Linked DNA regions of Xenopus tropicalis. The protein of the gene in region 3 purifies or fractionates together with the protein of the main gene of each other region. This does not show direct contact. Links are inferred from orthologs where the notes say so. Each region holds a gene or a part of one and is shown on either strand. Other genes may lie near its edges.

What was found. Proteins that work in one complex are often made in the same cells at the same time.
Region 1: the proteins of ankrd52 (region 3) and ppp6r1 purify together in Homo sapiens (co-immunoprecipitation; 3 studies listed by BioGRID and IntAct, with this or other methods). This does not show direct contact. The link is inferred for Xenopus tropicalis from reciprocal best matches to the Homo sapiens genes ANKRD52 and PPP6R1.
Region 2: the proteins of ankrd52 (region 3) and ppp6c purify together in Homo sapiens (affinity purification with mass spectrometry; 6 studies listed by BioGRID and IntAct, with this or other methods). This does not show direct contact. The link is inferred for Xenopus tropicalis from reciprocal best matches to the Homo sapiens genes ANKRD52 and PPP6C.
Region 4: the proteins of ankrd52 (region 3) and ppp6r2 purify together in Homo sapiens (affinity purification with mass spectrometry; 3 studies listed by BioGRID and IntAct, counting the BioPlex papers as one, with this or other methods). This does not show direct contact. The link is inferred for Xenopus tropicalis from reciprocal best matches to the Homo sapiens genes ANKRD52 and PPP6R2.

Annotation. Positions count from the first base shown.
Region 1 is NC_030683.2:114,083,606-114,087,440, reverse strand, and holds part of ppp6r1 (serine/threonine-protein phosphatase 6 regulatory subunit 1), read right to left. Parts: intron 3,120-3,835; coding exon 2,967-3,119; intron 2,750-2,966; coding exon 2,615-2,749; intron 2,132-2,614; coding exon 2,067-2,131; intron 1,585-2,066; coding exon 1,469-1,584; intron 642-1,468; coding exon 556-641; intron 1-555. UniProt on the Homo sapiens protein: Regulatory subunit of protein phosphatase 6 (PP6). May function as a scaffolding PP6 subunit. Involved in the PP6-mediated dephosphorylation of NFKBIE opposing its degradation in response to TNF-alpha.
Region 2 is NC_030684.2:28,169,955-28,173,789, forward strand, and holds part of ppp6c (serine/threonine-protein phosphatase 6 catalytic subunit), read right to left. Parts: intron 2,647-3,835; coding exon 2,551-2,646; intron 1,018-2,550; coding exon 952-1,017; intron 521-951; coding exon 379-520; intron 1-378.
Region 3 is NC_030678.2:137,394,186-137,398,020, reverse strand, and holds part of ankrd52 (serine/threonine-protein phosphatase 6 regulatory ankyrin repeat subunit C), read right to left. Parts: intron 3,613-3,835; coding exon 3,529-3,612; intron 3,264-3,528; coding exon 3,118-3,263; intron 2,778-3,117; coding exon 2,695-2,777; intron 1,916-2,694; coding exon 1,833-1,915; intron 1,357-1,832; coding exon 1,265-1,356; intron 388-1,264; coding exon 152-387; 3' UTR 1-151. UniProt on the Homo sapiens protein: Putative regulatory subunit of protein phosphatase 6 (PP6) that may be involved in the recognition of phosphoprotein substrates.
Region 4 is NC_030679.2:89,212,902-89,216,736, forward strand, and holds part of ppp6r2 (serine/threonine-protein phosphatase 6 regulatory subunit 2), read left to right. Parts: intron 1-267; coding exon 268-394; intron 395-1,922; coding exon 1,923-2,075; intron 2,076-2,302; coding exon 2,303-2,515; intron 2,516-3,835. UniProt on the Homo sapiens protein: Regulatory subunit of protein phosphatase 6 (PP6). May function as a scaffolding PP6 subunit. Involved in the PP6-mediated dephosphorylation of NFKBIE opposing its degradation in response to TNF-alpha.

The DNA of each region.
Region 1 (3,835 bases), on a different chromosome or scaffold from region 3:
TCAGTGACATTTACATTTGCAAACAGCATGTTTCATGTTGGGGGCATATATGTCCATTTTACCACACAGTATAGGTCATGGCAGGCCTGTGTCATTGCCCATAAATTGTTTTACAGCTTCTGAAGTAAAACACACAATTTTTAAAGGAGAAGGATCACAGCACATTGCCTATTATGTAATTAACCATTACATCACACATTATTCTGTAGGTAAGTGGCTCTTTTAGAATACTTTAGGATAAACAATAGTTAGCAGGATGAATTAAAATTTTACCTAACTTTCAAAAAAAGGGGTGTGCATCCTAGAGATTCTGGACCACAGCCCTCCCCCGTCTCTCAATAACTGGGGCATTTGCCAGATGGTCTGTGCAGGTGTGAACAGCAAAGCAGAGGACCCCACTTGATTATACAGAAACACAACCCTGCCCTTAATACTGGACCCAATCACAACTAGAGAATCAGGCAGCACTACTGTGCTGAAGCTAGCTCTGCTATAAAATTCACTGCAGATTTTTTTTTTACTGGAGAATAAATTCAGATTTTAAAAAAATCTTACGAGGTCAATGGTATTCTTCTTATTTGTATCTGTAAGAGATCCAGATACAAAACCGTCCCAACATTCCTGTTCTTCATCAGTTAGATCTGTCAGAAGGTATGGAAATAACAGTAACAATCAGGAAATAGTGCATTACATTCTTCCCAATGTTCTGCCCCTATAAATGGTCATGTATGATTTTCTCATTTCCCCGCAAAATGCAAAGGCTGCATGGTTCTTTCAGCTGATTACACTGAGAAACCAGAAATATTGGCTGGAGAGATTGGCAGAAAGAACTTTTGGCAGAACATTTTGCTATAGACTCTCACATCACAATACATGGTCTGCGCTTGGTCATCTATACTTTATTCACATACAGGTTTACTATGAGACACACTGGCCAACACACACACCAATTGTGGTATGCACAGTGAAATTTGTGTGAAAACACATTATTTAGCACAATTGAATCCACACACCTTCTAAAAGTGTGCAGATAATTTTTGCAAAGGCAAAAGGAACACAGAGGGGATTACTGGTCAAACCCCTCACCGAAATTAATCTGAAACCCATAGCATGATTCCCTTGATCTTGGACTAGGAGGGAGGTTGCCAATTTTTTTTTGTCTGGCACTAAAGAGCCATTGTTCCTTTCAAAGTACGTAACTACCCTTTAATTAACCCTGCAAACTCCTGCCAATGTAGTTATGTACAGTAATACCCTTTAAGGCAGAACAATTTATGAAAATGACTTAGCAGAGTTTGCGAATGAAGGAGAGAAAATGACAGAGAATGTGTTAAAAGGTGCCCCATCTTGTGCTTGGGTGACTTCATTGCAAAACACTAACATTTGGAAGTGAAAATGTAAAAAATTTCAAAAATAAAAATGCACAAATCAGTCAGGCAAACAGAATGTGGAGGCTACTTATCCTCACCTTTTATCAGCTGTCCAACTAGAGATACATTTGGTCCTTTTTCAGAACTCTGAACAACTGAATTTGCAATTTTTGTCAGATGGCCCATGAACCCTTTGCGTCGCCCTCCTTCTGATCTAAAGAAAAAAAAAAGACAAATTTTAGTGTCTACACATTGTGCATTCTGATGCATAGACATTCTGAAGAACATCTAAGGAGGATGTGTTGTAGAATGCAATGATGAATTATTAATCAGTTAAAAAAAAAACAAAAAAAAAACAACCCGTGTGTGTAGCTGGCCACACACGTGGCAATTTTTTCGATTGAAAGATCATTCCAACCCTCCACTGATGTTCAGGACTGAATCGTCAGGAAACAATAGGATTTCTACCTCCTTCTGGCGATTCAGCCCTGAAGGCAGATTTTGCTCAGGCACCTTTAATGGCGGCCGAACAAAATCTTCTAACCTGCCCGATCGCCTCCTGCGATGATACGCGCACCGAATATTGTACGAAGATATTATCGGTGCGTGTATGTCCAGCTTTATATATACACATGAATTCTACGTATATATATATATATATAATCTCTTTGAGAATGTAATTTCTGTAGTCCTTACTGTTCTTTCTCGTTTTCTTCCCACGCTGATAAAATTCTCTGAACGAGGCGGCATTTTTGCAGAAGCTGATTAAAAGAAAGAGTATGTCAGATGCCTTTACTTCCAGCACTGAGGTACAGAATTTCCACACAGACATTTTAACTATAGTCAGTTCAGTAAAGCAATGGTGCCTGATAGATAGACTGGGATATAACAGTAGATTTTTAGACTAGGATCACAGCAGCCAGGCATTTCAGTTTAATGTGATGAAGTTTTTTCATGATTATATAACATGTTATGTTGGCAGATTTAAATAAAAGACAACCCCACAATGGTAAAGTCTGGGCAAGTGTGCACTTTATAGTTGAACTGTTAAGTAAGGTATTATTTTCTTTTTTGGATCAGGATTTTATTTTGTAATGTTTTTACTAGAAAGGTAAAATAAAAAGTGCCCAGACAATAACAGGTGTACCAAGTTTACTTAAATCAGTCATCTTTTGTATCTAAAACTATAATTTTAACTTTACTTTTCCCTCAATTGTAAAAACAAAAAAAAAATTTCAACTTACATATCTGACAAGAGGGTGGCCTTGTGCCTCATCTTCAATGGTTTCTTCCAAAGGAGACGAATTTAAAATTGTGGTGATGCACACCTCTACTTGTGCGTGCAGGAAATTATTGTACATGTATTTGAAATAAAGGTCCTAGAAGAAAAAAAAAATCAGTAAAGCAAAAGAAACACAACCCACGTAGCAGGTAATCAAATGAGATCCATAGGGGAAGACTGAAGAAAATTCAGGAGCAGTCATGGACACGATAGGAAAAATTAAACAAAAGTATTTAACATCCATTGGCTGTAACACCCAAGCAATGCATAGCTGTCGCCACTCTGCCTGTGTGCAACATAATTAAGTATCTTACCAGCATGGTGTTCAGTGTGTCCAGCTCAATCAGCTCTTGATTTAACACTTTATTGTTTGCATTTATTATGCTAGCCAACAGTTTCACCACATGTAGTCGAGTATTCCCCAGGGGTGGATCAAGAATTCCCCATGTTGTTTGTAGGCTTTGTTTCTGCAAAAAGAATAAATTACATTTTCAGTTATACATTAATAAATACAAAAAATAAATTTGTGTATGTATTTGGGAGATGCATTGCTCCTAAGTTGTGGCACAGAATAGCCACACATGCATTTTAAGTTTAATAATTTTTTTATGTTGCATGAAAGTTTGGCCACTGGATGGTGCTGTTGCATTGAAACCATGGGAAAATATAACCGAAGCTCCTTAAGAAACAATTGCTAGTAAGCTATTAATACCTAAATTTAACAAAAAAAAAGTAATTATTGGGAAGTAAACTAATTAAAGTGCAACTAAAACCCCACAAAGACATCACTAGGCATGTGCTGTGTACTGGAGACAAGCTTGATACAGAAAGAGCATTGAGGAGGCACTGATGTGCTGATTCCGTAAACAATTGATTTATCCTACATATAGGGTGTATGTTGGCTGGGCAGTGGGAATTTTTTTCTTTTGTTTACGACCAACTTGACATGCCTAGTGAATAACTACAGCAGCTTTGAGCACAAAGAGCAGGGATCCCCAACCTTTTATACCCGTGAGCCACATTTAAAAGGAAAAAGTGTTGGGGAGCAACATAAGCATGAAAAAGGTTTATGGAGGTAAATTTGGCTACTTAATAGCCCCTATGTGGACTGGCAGCCTACAGAAGGCTCTGTTTGGCATTATACTTGCTTTTTATACAACCAAAACTTGCCTCCTTACCAGAA
Region 2 (3,835 bases), on a different chromosome or scaffold from region 3:
GTAGCAGTACCACATATTGCAGAAGTCACCTCAAAGTTTCATGATCTGTAGAAAATCATTTGGACATGGAAAACTACAGTGACTTAATAAGTCACTACCCTTATATTTTACAACAGGAGACACACACACACACATATAATCAGTCTCAAAGTAATAATATTGCACAACAGAAGACCAGCCATAGAACAAGTGCCTTTGTCACAGCAGCAGTGCAAATGACTTCCATCATAGCACAAGTGTTACTCTGTGTTTATGTCATTTGACAAGGCAAACCAGGAAGTTATAAGGAAAAGCATTTAGCAAATTGTCTGCCAGGAAAATAATGATTAAGAAGCTTTTTTCCTACTTGGTTTTATGGTTTTGGACAGTAGTGCTCACCATAGAATCCATACACCTGTGTGATCTGCCTGCTTTCATGGTTCCCTCGCAGCAAGGTAATACGGTCAGGCCACTTGGCTTTCAGGGCAAGCAGGTAGGTGAATGTCTCTAAACTGTAATACCCTCTATCTACAAAGTCACCCTACAAAATGAAAAGAAAAGGGAAAAAAGCAGATAATAAATACAGATGCTGTATATCATTTTTTTTAACAGTTTATTTCTACTAAACAGGCATTTTATTGCAAATGGGGCTTCACCGACTTGTTAAGAGACTGTACATTCTGGGGGAACAGTTTGACATGAAGCCATCACGGTAGTACATAATGCAATGGACAAGGCAGGTAAAAAATTATTGGCAAAACAAATTCAATGTGCCCACTAAGATAAATATGACAGATTTGTTGAACATGCTAGCTAGGTCTCCCACTTAGAGACACAAGTGGAATGTGTTTAAATTGGCAAAAAAACAAAACATTGTTTGTGTTAGTCAGCCTTTGAGTTTATGACTGAGATGCTTTCTTTTTTAAAAAAAAAAAACCAAATCAAGTACAACTCCCTTCAACCTGCACTCACCATGAAGATGTAATTTGTGTCAGGAACTTGGCCGCCAGTTCTAAAGAGCTCACACAGATCATAAAACTAGAAAACAAGCAAAAAAAAAAGTGCTTTCAGCAAGTGTAACAAGGTTTTTTTTTTTTTTTTTTTAAATGGCAGTTTTAGTTTACTAAACAGATTCATCCCACCCAAAAACATCCCCTTTCCCCTTACATAAAGATGTCATTAATGATTAAGTATATGTACCAAAAGGTAAAGGTTCCAAACAGGTGCTGTAAGTACGTATCTCTTAAAGCTTTCGCTCAGGGCTGTGACACACGGGGAGATTAGTCACCGCGACAAATCTCCCTTGTTGCGGGCGACTAATCTCCCCAAAATGGAGAGCGCTGGCGGCGCCACCATTTGCAGAAGTCACGGAAGTTGCCTTAAGAGGAAACTTCTGCAAATTGCAGCGCTGCATATGCCATCCCACCGGCGATTTACATTCTAACCAGTGGAATGGCATTTCGGGGAGATTAGTCGCCCAGCGAATAATCTCACCGTGTGTCACAGCCCTTATACGCAAAAGATTCACTTGTTTGAGGAGGTCATGAGTGGATCTTTGTCCAATTTAACAACCTACATACAGGGCCAAATCAATGCAGGCCTGTCGGGGGAAGACCGCACCAACAAGCTGATTTGACCCTTGCCTCATGGGATTTAAAAATAGGGAAGATATCTATTGTGGAGTCTTTTGGGAAGGTCCCATGCATGGGCAGAGAACTAGCTTCCACTCATGCGTCCCATATTTTGTTGGATCTTGTAAAGGCAAACCTCTTGCTAGATGTAGCAACATGATCAATGGCGTGGTCTTATCAATCAGACAAACGGGACAGAGTAATTTGGGCTCAACCAATGTAATAAAATCCTTTTCTTTGCCAGACACAGAACAGTTAAAACCAGGATTCTACTATATGTCTTAGGAACTGATTAATCCAAGAGCAACATTGGGGTCAATGATAACAAAGAAGGCAGTATATGTTTATCAGTAAAGACTAGAACAACCTGACAATAGTTATTAATGAGATGACATAAAAAATGTTGTTTAATCAATCCTCCAAACTGCAAAACATAAGCCTCATCTGGAGATAACTAAAACATGAATGTTGTGCTAGCTAATTTGTTATACTATTCTAATTTAATAGATATCTCCCAGTAACTCTTGTAAACTTGGCCCAGTGTTCTCTTTCTTAAAAAATGCATAGGCCTGAAGTAGCTTTCAGTTAAGCAGGCTAGCCACCATTATCTTCCCAGGCACCCCCTGTGTCACGGTCATTTCCTTATGCAAGGTACAGAACAGCTGGTTAAAGGTTCTCCAAGTCTAAAGAGGGTCAGGGTGATGCCTGGAAAAGTAGGAGAAACAGCAGGCCACCCTTTTGAAAAACTAGCCAAGGCAAGAGCATTTTATATTGAAAAGTTGCACCGGCAAAGGGTAAGACATAAGCAATTGTTCACTGGGCGGTGGCCTAAAATACTGGCATAACCCACCCCAGTTTTTCATGTATCTTGAAACTGCAATAAAATCTTTACTTTTTTGATACCCTATGTCTGACAGCAGATTTATGGAAAGTGACTTACCTGTCCATGTATATCTCCACAAACTGTTACGGGTGTAGATACCGGCTGAACATTTGATTCCTCCAGTAGCAGATCACACACATAATCACATAGTCGCTTTAAAAGAGAATAAAAAAGTGAAACAAATATTAAAGATTTTCTTTTGACCACAGAACAAATGTAACGGCTAAACCAGAAATCAGAAAACTATACAAATTGGCATCCTCTAATTCGACCCAAACAATGACATCTGGCCACATATAGGATTACCACACAGAAATACAGGTAGCTTTTTTGGCCTGCCTACAATATCTAGCTCCATGTATGATATGGCAAGTGGAAGCTCCAGGACTATAGTCCTCTGTGAAAGGTTTAATAGGTATGAGCATCATCATTAGGAAGGAAGCTTAAAGTTCTTTCAGAAAATGGAAATGTTGCATATTTTTTGTTCCCTTTAAAGAAACTTTTTTTTTAGATAAACTCATTTACAAAAATACATCCATGGCAAAGGCCAAACACATACACTGGGCTAGGACCAAATCTGATTGGCCACAGACCAAACCACTACATTATGCTATAAAATCAGTCAGATGTCGATCGGGAAGGTTTAAGAAAACCCAAGGACTAAATTTTCAAATCAGCCTGATATCATATCCACTCAATTGGGGTGCGGATGTAAAGGCCAGCTTAATTTAAACCAATTTCACACATTTATCAAGATTTACACATTAGTGGCATGTTATCTAAACAATTAGCACAAGGCGTTAATCCACAACTAGCAGCTCGTGAACAACATGTTGCGTCAAAGTAGGCATTCAGTATAAAATTCTATTTTTGGAGGCAAAGCGCTAAACTACATGGGAGATTTTGATAAGATTCTGTGGGTCACAAAATGTTGTCATATAACAGCATGAGATTACAGTATGTAGGATCCTACAAAATCTGATCCCCACAACTGTAAAACAAGTTGGATCAGATAAAGTCAGATGGTGTGTTTTGTTCCAGCATCTACATCCAACAGTCAATGTAATTCAATAAAAAAGTCTTCTCAACACCATCAGCTTTCATTTTGTCTGATGCTCTCGTGTAGTTTACACTTTAGATTTTATTAACCGTACCATTATTTTTTAACCCAGGCACCAGCATTGGGCTTGTGTTCTTTTGATCCAACACCATCCTACAAAATCTCCCTTATAGTTTGGCTTTAAAAGACACTAGTTTACTGTACACAGAGCTTCAAGCTGGCAGTCCACATGGGGCTACCAAGCAGCCAATCCCAGCGCTTACTTAGTTAGACCCATTAACT
Region 3 (3,835 bases):
GGCAGCTCAAGAGAGCAGGTTAATGGGAGGAAAGCCTAGTAAGCAGCTCAACACCACTGTATGTTGTGTCTTATTCTCCTTTAAAAAAGTGCCCTAAAATTATCCTAAATAAATTAAATGTAAGGATGCATCACCCAGAGGGCAAAAGAAGCTACTCAGAGTAGCAGCCATCCATGGCAATAGAACCATGACGATCCTTTGTGTAGGGGCAGCTGCCACCATTAGGGAGGGCAGTCTTGGCAGCGATGCTGCAGTTTTTCAGAAGGTTGAAACTGAAGGGAAGGATGGCGTCTTTTGGTGGGAAAGGCTTCATGGTGGATAGGATAAGTGCCAAGCAGTCCGCTACGTCCTTGTTCGGTGCACAGGCCAAGGCTGGGGTGTGACCTGCTGTCAAGTGAAAAAGATAAATGCAAGAAGTAAAATTTATTAGACAATTCTAATGAAGTTTCTATTAAAGTAGCGGCGAAATGTACCAATGATTTAATACAGGGAGGGACTGTTGCGCAGTACAGAAAATAAAATTGTGCCAAGTACTTAGAGGAAACTGCTTCTGGAATAATATATGCATACACTACTGGCAAACCATCCTCAAACATCCATTAACAACTAGTTGTGCGGGTTTGTATCAACATATGCACAACTGTAATGTGAAAGGGGTTAATGCAATTTTATGGGTCAGACAACAGAACTCCCTTCATTATGCCAGATAGTTTGGCTAGCTGAAATATTAAACTGCCCAAGACTGCATTCAGATAAATTGGTTAAACCTTGCACACACTACAGCTCAATTGGAATTTTTTTTATATGAATTATATGGGTATGATGATCTAGAAGAAGGATATCAACTTAAATAAGAAAAACTTAAAAATTTGCCTATGTAAAACACCAGTTTCTTCTGGAAATTCAGACTAAATAGAAATGTAGGGGACTGAATCAGCTAATAATAAAAATGATTCTGCCATTTAAAACCACATCGCTTAATGTATGTTTGATACTCTGCAGTAGACTTTCAGCCCCGTTTCCTTGACAGAGTTATTACAGTCTGAAATACATTTCTGCTTAAAACTTGTTTGTTAAATATTAGGGCTTGCAGCTAAATATGCTGTGTCTGCTAATAATGAGTAGGGCTCATAATTTCTAAAAAGCATCTACCCCTGAAGAGCAGCCATGAGTAGGAATGCTGTTGCTCCTGCATGGGTGAAAACATGGCAAGAAACACTTGTCTTATTAAACAAGGGAATAAGAAAACGTGTAATGGTCTCACCTTCTTCATCCACAGCCAACACAGTGGCCCCTCTTGTAAGCAAAGCTTGGACGACCGATGCCAGCCCATTGCGAGCAGCAATGTGAAGAGGCCTGGGAAAGGATCAGAAAAATAAATATCAGGAGCGTACAATTTTACAATTTAAATTGTCAAAATCATTGATTACATCACAGCATAAATCTACTCAGAGATCTTAAATGGCTGCAAAACCAGCTTGCATTTTTGTACTTCAATCTTATTACTGTGGCTTTTGCATTTAGTTATGGCAAAATGTTTTTTTAATAAGATAACATAAGGTTATTTATTGCAATATTTAAACATGAACATATCACATACCTGTACATGAAGGCACAGGAAACAGTTTGTTTTACTAACTAAACAGAATTTTAGGGGAACATGCTAGATTATACATATTGTTCCTGTGGGTCCCTCCTCCAAGAAACTCACTTCATAATCTTAAAGGCTTTGCATTACATTATAAAATATAACAGATCAACCAAGAAAACTAATTGGAAAATAAGAAAAAAACAGGGAAAAAAAACCTGCATCATTCATTAACACAACTCACATCTGCAGCATGCTGTTTGTTGCATTGATAAGGCCAAGGTCCCGGGTCTCCCCTAGAAGCAGCAAAGCACACTTTTCATGTCCCTAGAAATAAAGATATTGTAAATAAGGATACTACAAAAGAACCTTTTTATATAGTTTAAAAGTCTGCCCTAATATCCGAACTGAAAAGAATAGTCAAAATGCATGTCAGAACAAGCCTTATTCATTTAGCCATTTTACTAAAAAAGGGGTTACATTGACACTTAAGTTTAGTTAGCAAGTGAGAGTAGTAACTGGAAATCATTCTATTAAAAGTCCACTAACATCTATTTTTTCACAGTAGCTTCAGAAAGGTGCTTTCCTGCTTGATGATGATCCTATGCACAAAGACAGGTCTGTTTTGAATTTGTTCAAATGGTAGGGAAAGAAGCTGAGAAAATTGCACAGGACACTAAACTCAACTGTATATCTCACTAATGCTGTTGTGATTGAACAGAACCACCAAGAAGAGTAAACACTATTATAGCAGCAAAGGGATGCCCAACTTATTAATGCTCATACAGGTATTACAGAATGAGGTTAGGCAGGTAGATACATACTCACAGTCTAAAGGTTACTCTAAGTTCTGTAGGAAAAATTTAAATATAAAAAACACAAGTGCTGTAAGATGAAAAAGTCAGTCTTTCCACAGGGGCAACACCTTTTGTTTTTGCTTACTGCAAAAACAAAAGGCATTGACTTTCTTGAAAAACAAGAAAGTCAATGCTGCTGTTACTTCTGAAAGCTGTCATTTAAGTTATAATATTGAACAGTGATATTTAATATACTAGTACCTCGACAGGGAGAAAGTACCCCATACGCAACTAGATAAGCATAATTACCTTGCTGCAGGCTAGGTGAAGCGCAGTGTTCTTGTTGATATCCATCACAGTTAAATCCGCCTTCATGTGAAACAGCAGGAACTCTACAACATGAATGGATAGAGAATGACATGATGTTTTAATCAAGTAAAAAGGATGAACATATTAAAGTGTATATATATATATATATATATATATATATATATATATATATATATATATATATATATATATATATATATATATATATATAGCAAGACAATGAGCCGCACACGCAGGGACTTTTTTAGAAAACAAAAAATTTCTTTAATGAAAACGATCCAACGTTTCGAGCACCAACTGTGCTCTTCCTCAGGGAAAAAAATATATATATTTATTTATTTTTTTTTTTTTTTTTATCTCAAAACACTGAGGACCTATATATAACACAAGAAGTACAATTACCAACTGCTGCAGTCCTTCCATTTTCTGCTGACATCATCAGAGGTGTCCGACCAGAGAGGTCTGTGGCATTGACCTCAGCCTGGTGGTGCAAGAGTAGTTGTAAACCGTTCACATTGTCAGCAAATGCTGCAGCATGAAGAGGAGTCCTGCGTCAAAAAAAAAAAAAAAAAATTACATTATGTGCTGCTGTTAGACTGCCTGGGAACCTCTGCTATAAGTGAAGAAAATTTCCCTTTAAAATATATAAAATGCCAACATATTCAGCAGCATTGTACAATAAATGGGTGTTTACATTAAACAAAAACAACAAATTAAAAAAAAAAAGTATATTGGGCCCTAATATGTATTAGTTAAGAGCTTATCTTCACATGTATTACAGCATTAACAGAAACCAGAAAAAAAGAAACTAACCTCCCTTTGGCATCTCTGCTATTCACAATCTTGGCACCCAAAGCTTCTACCAGTAGGTCAGCCGTACCATCTTGGCTGTTAATTCTGCAAGAAGAAAACAAATACCAGTTGGGTAAAGCCAGAAAGCAGAGCCAGTGGAACTCTGTTTATTTCCATTTTGATCAAGTGTCCTGTTACTGTGGACAGGAGCTTTAAACTAGAGCAGGGGTCCCAAACCTTTTATACACATGAACCAAATTCAAATGGAAGGTTTTTTGGAAACACCACAAAAAAATGTTCGGGGGTGCCAGATAAGAGCTATGGGTGG
Region 4 (3,835 bases), on a different chromosome or scaffold from region 3:
CTGTTACTGTATTTAATGTTCTAGTCAAAACCCTCTACCCACTGGCAGCAGCTTCTCTTTTTAATGTATTGCTCAGGAACGCTGGCTTCACAAACTATACCTACAATGCAGTGTGATTCACCAGAATATAACATTTTTAGTAGAGCAGGATTCTTAAAATGACCAAGAAAAATTAAAAACAGCCCTGTGCAGTTTCTTTGATTACAGCGGGGGTTATATCTCAGGCTTATTGACATTCTTATACTTATATCAGTCTCTTTTCTACAGTGTAGATCCCCTGCTGAATTCATTGACACAGGGCTATGATAGAACTCCTACTGTTAGCAACTGTATACTTCAAGTGATAGAGCCACGTCTAAAAGATTTTCACGATCTGCTTCAGCATCCTCCTAAGGTACAACCTGCTTTTGTACATATAGGTAGTCACAAGGTATTGCAGTTATGTGTGTTTATAAAATGCCAAATGAGACAGTAGTTTTTAAACTCTATTATGACTTTATCAATGTCTGCTTGTACATTTGCCCATATAGGCTTCTGTAAAAGGTTGAATTTGATGGATGTGTTACTATGACATTTCTACAAGTTAAAAGCCCTTTGGTTAGCTTTTCATTGATATAACCCTGAGTTGTGTTTTTTTTTTTTTTTTTTTACTATTCATGTTTAGTATGTCTATGAAGATTTTCATTCATCCAGGTCACGGTATATCTAGTATAAATAAATTTAAAGCAACTGGACTTGTTTGGTAATCATTGAAGACGTTTCACTACTCATCCGAGCAGCTTCTTCAGTTCTACTGAAGAAGCTGCTCGGATGAGTAGTGAAACGTCTTCAATGATTACCAACAAGTCCAGTTGCTTTAAATTTATTTATACTAGATATTCATGTTCAGGTTACTGTACTGATTCAGGGATTAATTTTTAAGCTTCTTATGAACTTCAGAAAGTCAGTCTTGCATTTCTAGCACCAAACCCAGCCTGTATGCTCTGTGGAACAGCAATTACTGTTTGATGTCTTTGTGTAAGTTAAAAGTATTTTAAATTGGTCAGGTTTATCCCATTAAAGTTTTGCACATTTATTTCTTTTGTGTTATTTTATAAAAGTGTAAGTTTCAGTGTAGATTGTAAGCTTTGCTTTAGTGTTGCGACTAATTTTCTTTTAAAGGGTCCCATCTCAAAAATTTTCTTTCTCCTGCTGAAGCTGTGAGCTAACACAGCCTGCATTCCAGATGAAGAAGAGTGTATTTTTTTTTTTTTTTTTTAAATAGGACCTCTTTGAACACAGTACCCCTATGTGGGTGGCCATACTTTGGTACCTGCAATACTACAGCTTGCTTAAAATGCACATGTGCATGATTATGTAATAAGCATGTGCTTATTGAGCAATCCTTGGTACTAGTTGTTAAGCACGTGGAGGAGATATTAGATCTCCTCTACCACGGGCAACTAATCTCCTGCATACGTACACGCCACTTCGGCTTTGCTAAGTAGCCTGAAGTTGCCTCTCGAGTAGCTTATGTTTCCACTCTGGCAATAATGAGAATTGCCGGCAGGGAAACAGGAGAGCTATCGTGGGTGACTAATCTCCCGCATATATCTTGGGTGAATAATCTGCTGCATATGTTTCCATATTGGCAATAATGGGAATTGCCAGATGGGAAACATGCTGCAAAGTTACATAACCCTGTTAGAAGAAGGAAATACATTTTGCATTTCATTTGATGCCAATTTTTAACAGTATATGGTTGAAATTACTGCACTGTTATCATGGAAAAATAGGTATGTGGTAAACAAAGGCATGTGTTTTCAAGGGTTTTATGTTAAACCAATAACCAGTGGACAGCTTCTGCAAGTTTAAAAACAAGGTAAGGAATTTTCCATGCGACTAATGGGTTTGTGATATTATCTCTTTCAATTTTAATGCAGAAAGAATCAATTTTGACCACAATTGGGGTACTGGAGGAGCCATTAGGAAATGCCCGTCTCCACACTACACGCCTTATTGCCGCATTGCTTCACACTAACACTCCCAGTATTAACCAGGAGCTTTGTCGGCTAGGTACCATGGATCTCTTACTTGTAAGTAAATCTAGCAAAGGCACTAAGCACTTCAAATTCAGTGCTTCTCCTGGCATAGGGAAATTTGCTAGAAAGAAACTAGTAAAAATGTGTTGCATTAATAACAAATATGGAATTTTCTGGCATTAACAACAAGAGCTAAAAGAATCATTTAAAAACAGATATTTTATTATTTGTAAGAAGATGGTGCTTCTGTAGCTAATATGTTATACCTTTCTCTCCCACAGGATCTTTTCTTTAGATACACATGGAATAACTTCATGCACTTACAGGTTGAGCTGTGTATAGCAGCTGTTCTCTCTAACTCCAGGCAAGAAGGGAAGTATCTGGCAGTTTCTGAAGAAAGACAGGAGGAGGAGGAAACACTTAATGGAAATGCAGAAAACATGGAGAACTGCCAGATCTGTTCCTCTGAGCATGAAGATCTAATGATCACACATGTGAGTTAGGATTTTTATTAAATGTATAATTTTTTAGGTGTGTTTTGCGTATGGTGATCCCCTTTTGTTGCCATTACTTAGAGCTTCTGACTCTGCGTGTATGTGCGAAAGACAAATTATAATTTTTATTGCCTGCCTTGTTTTCAAGGCTTACGTACCGCAAAAATATCTTCCAATGTTGCAAAGACTATGTCAGTTTTGTTAAAAGTGGTTCATCTTTAAGCTAACTTTTAGTTTGTTATAGAATGACTGTCATCATTTATTTGTTAGAGTTTTTCAATTATTTGCCTTCTTCTTACAAAAAATTATTGCTCTGCGAGGCTACCGTTGTATTGTTATTGTTACTTTTTGTAACTTTCTTTTGTATTCAGGCCGTCTCCTATTCATATAACAATCACTCATCCAAACCACTCCCTGGTTGCTAAGGTAACTTGAACCCTACATATAGAACAAACATTATAGGATTATGCTCATAAGTTTTAAGTATATTTAGTATCTCACCGATAGTATAGATGGGCCTGGGTGCTCATGCCCCAGACCTTCAGCTTGAGGGGACCATTTAGGAAATCCAAAAATTGAAAATGGCAGGCACTCCAGGACTTGAAGAAAAAGGTATCAGGCAGTAGACTCCAAAAATTGAAATAAAATCATAAAGTTTATTATATTAACACTTAATGCTACATGGCCTTACGCGTTTCGTACCGTATGGTACTTAATCATAGGCCTACTGCTGAAACTCCAAACTGAAGAGCTCCTGAAAATACACATTAACATCATGATAGTATTCCTTTAGCTCAAAGTTGAACAACCCCTTTAAATGATGTATTAAAAATACTTTAACCAACTTTATGATCTCTGTTGGAGATATACTTTGCAATTTAATAGCAGTGTGGCTTCTAACAAAATAAAATATCATATGTTCTGTCTAAAAAAAGATTGTTGCTGCACTTGTACAATAGATGAAATATATACGGTTGTCTTGATTCCTCTTTGCTATGTCATGTAATTTTCAAGATGGATAACTACTGAACATACAACGTATTAACCTTTTATAAATCAGATAAGTATGGTTCATTTAAGTCCTGATTTAAAATAAAACATTTTTTTTTCTCTGAGGGCTGGCTTTATTTGCAGCTTACTTATTTGTTCTTGAACCCTCTGTTCCCCTGCTCTCCAGGTACCCGTTGTAAAAGCACTATTTGGCCCCAGTAGTTAACCACTCCAGCACCAGTTGGGTAGAGATGGGTGGGCCTCATTTTAAAAGGGCCCTAACTATTGAAATCACAATCTCCACCTTTTTTTTCTTTTTCCCTTTTTTGA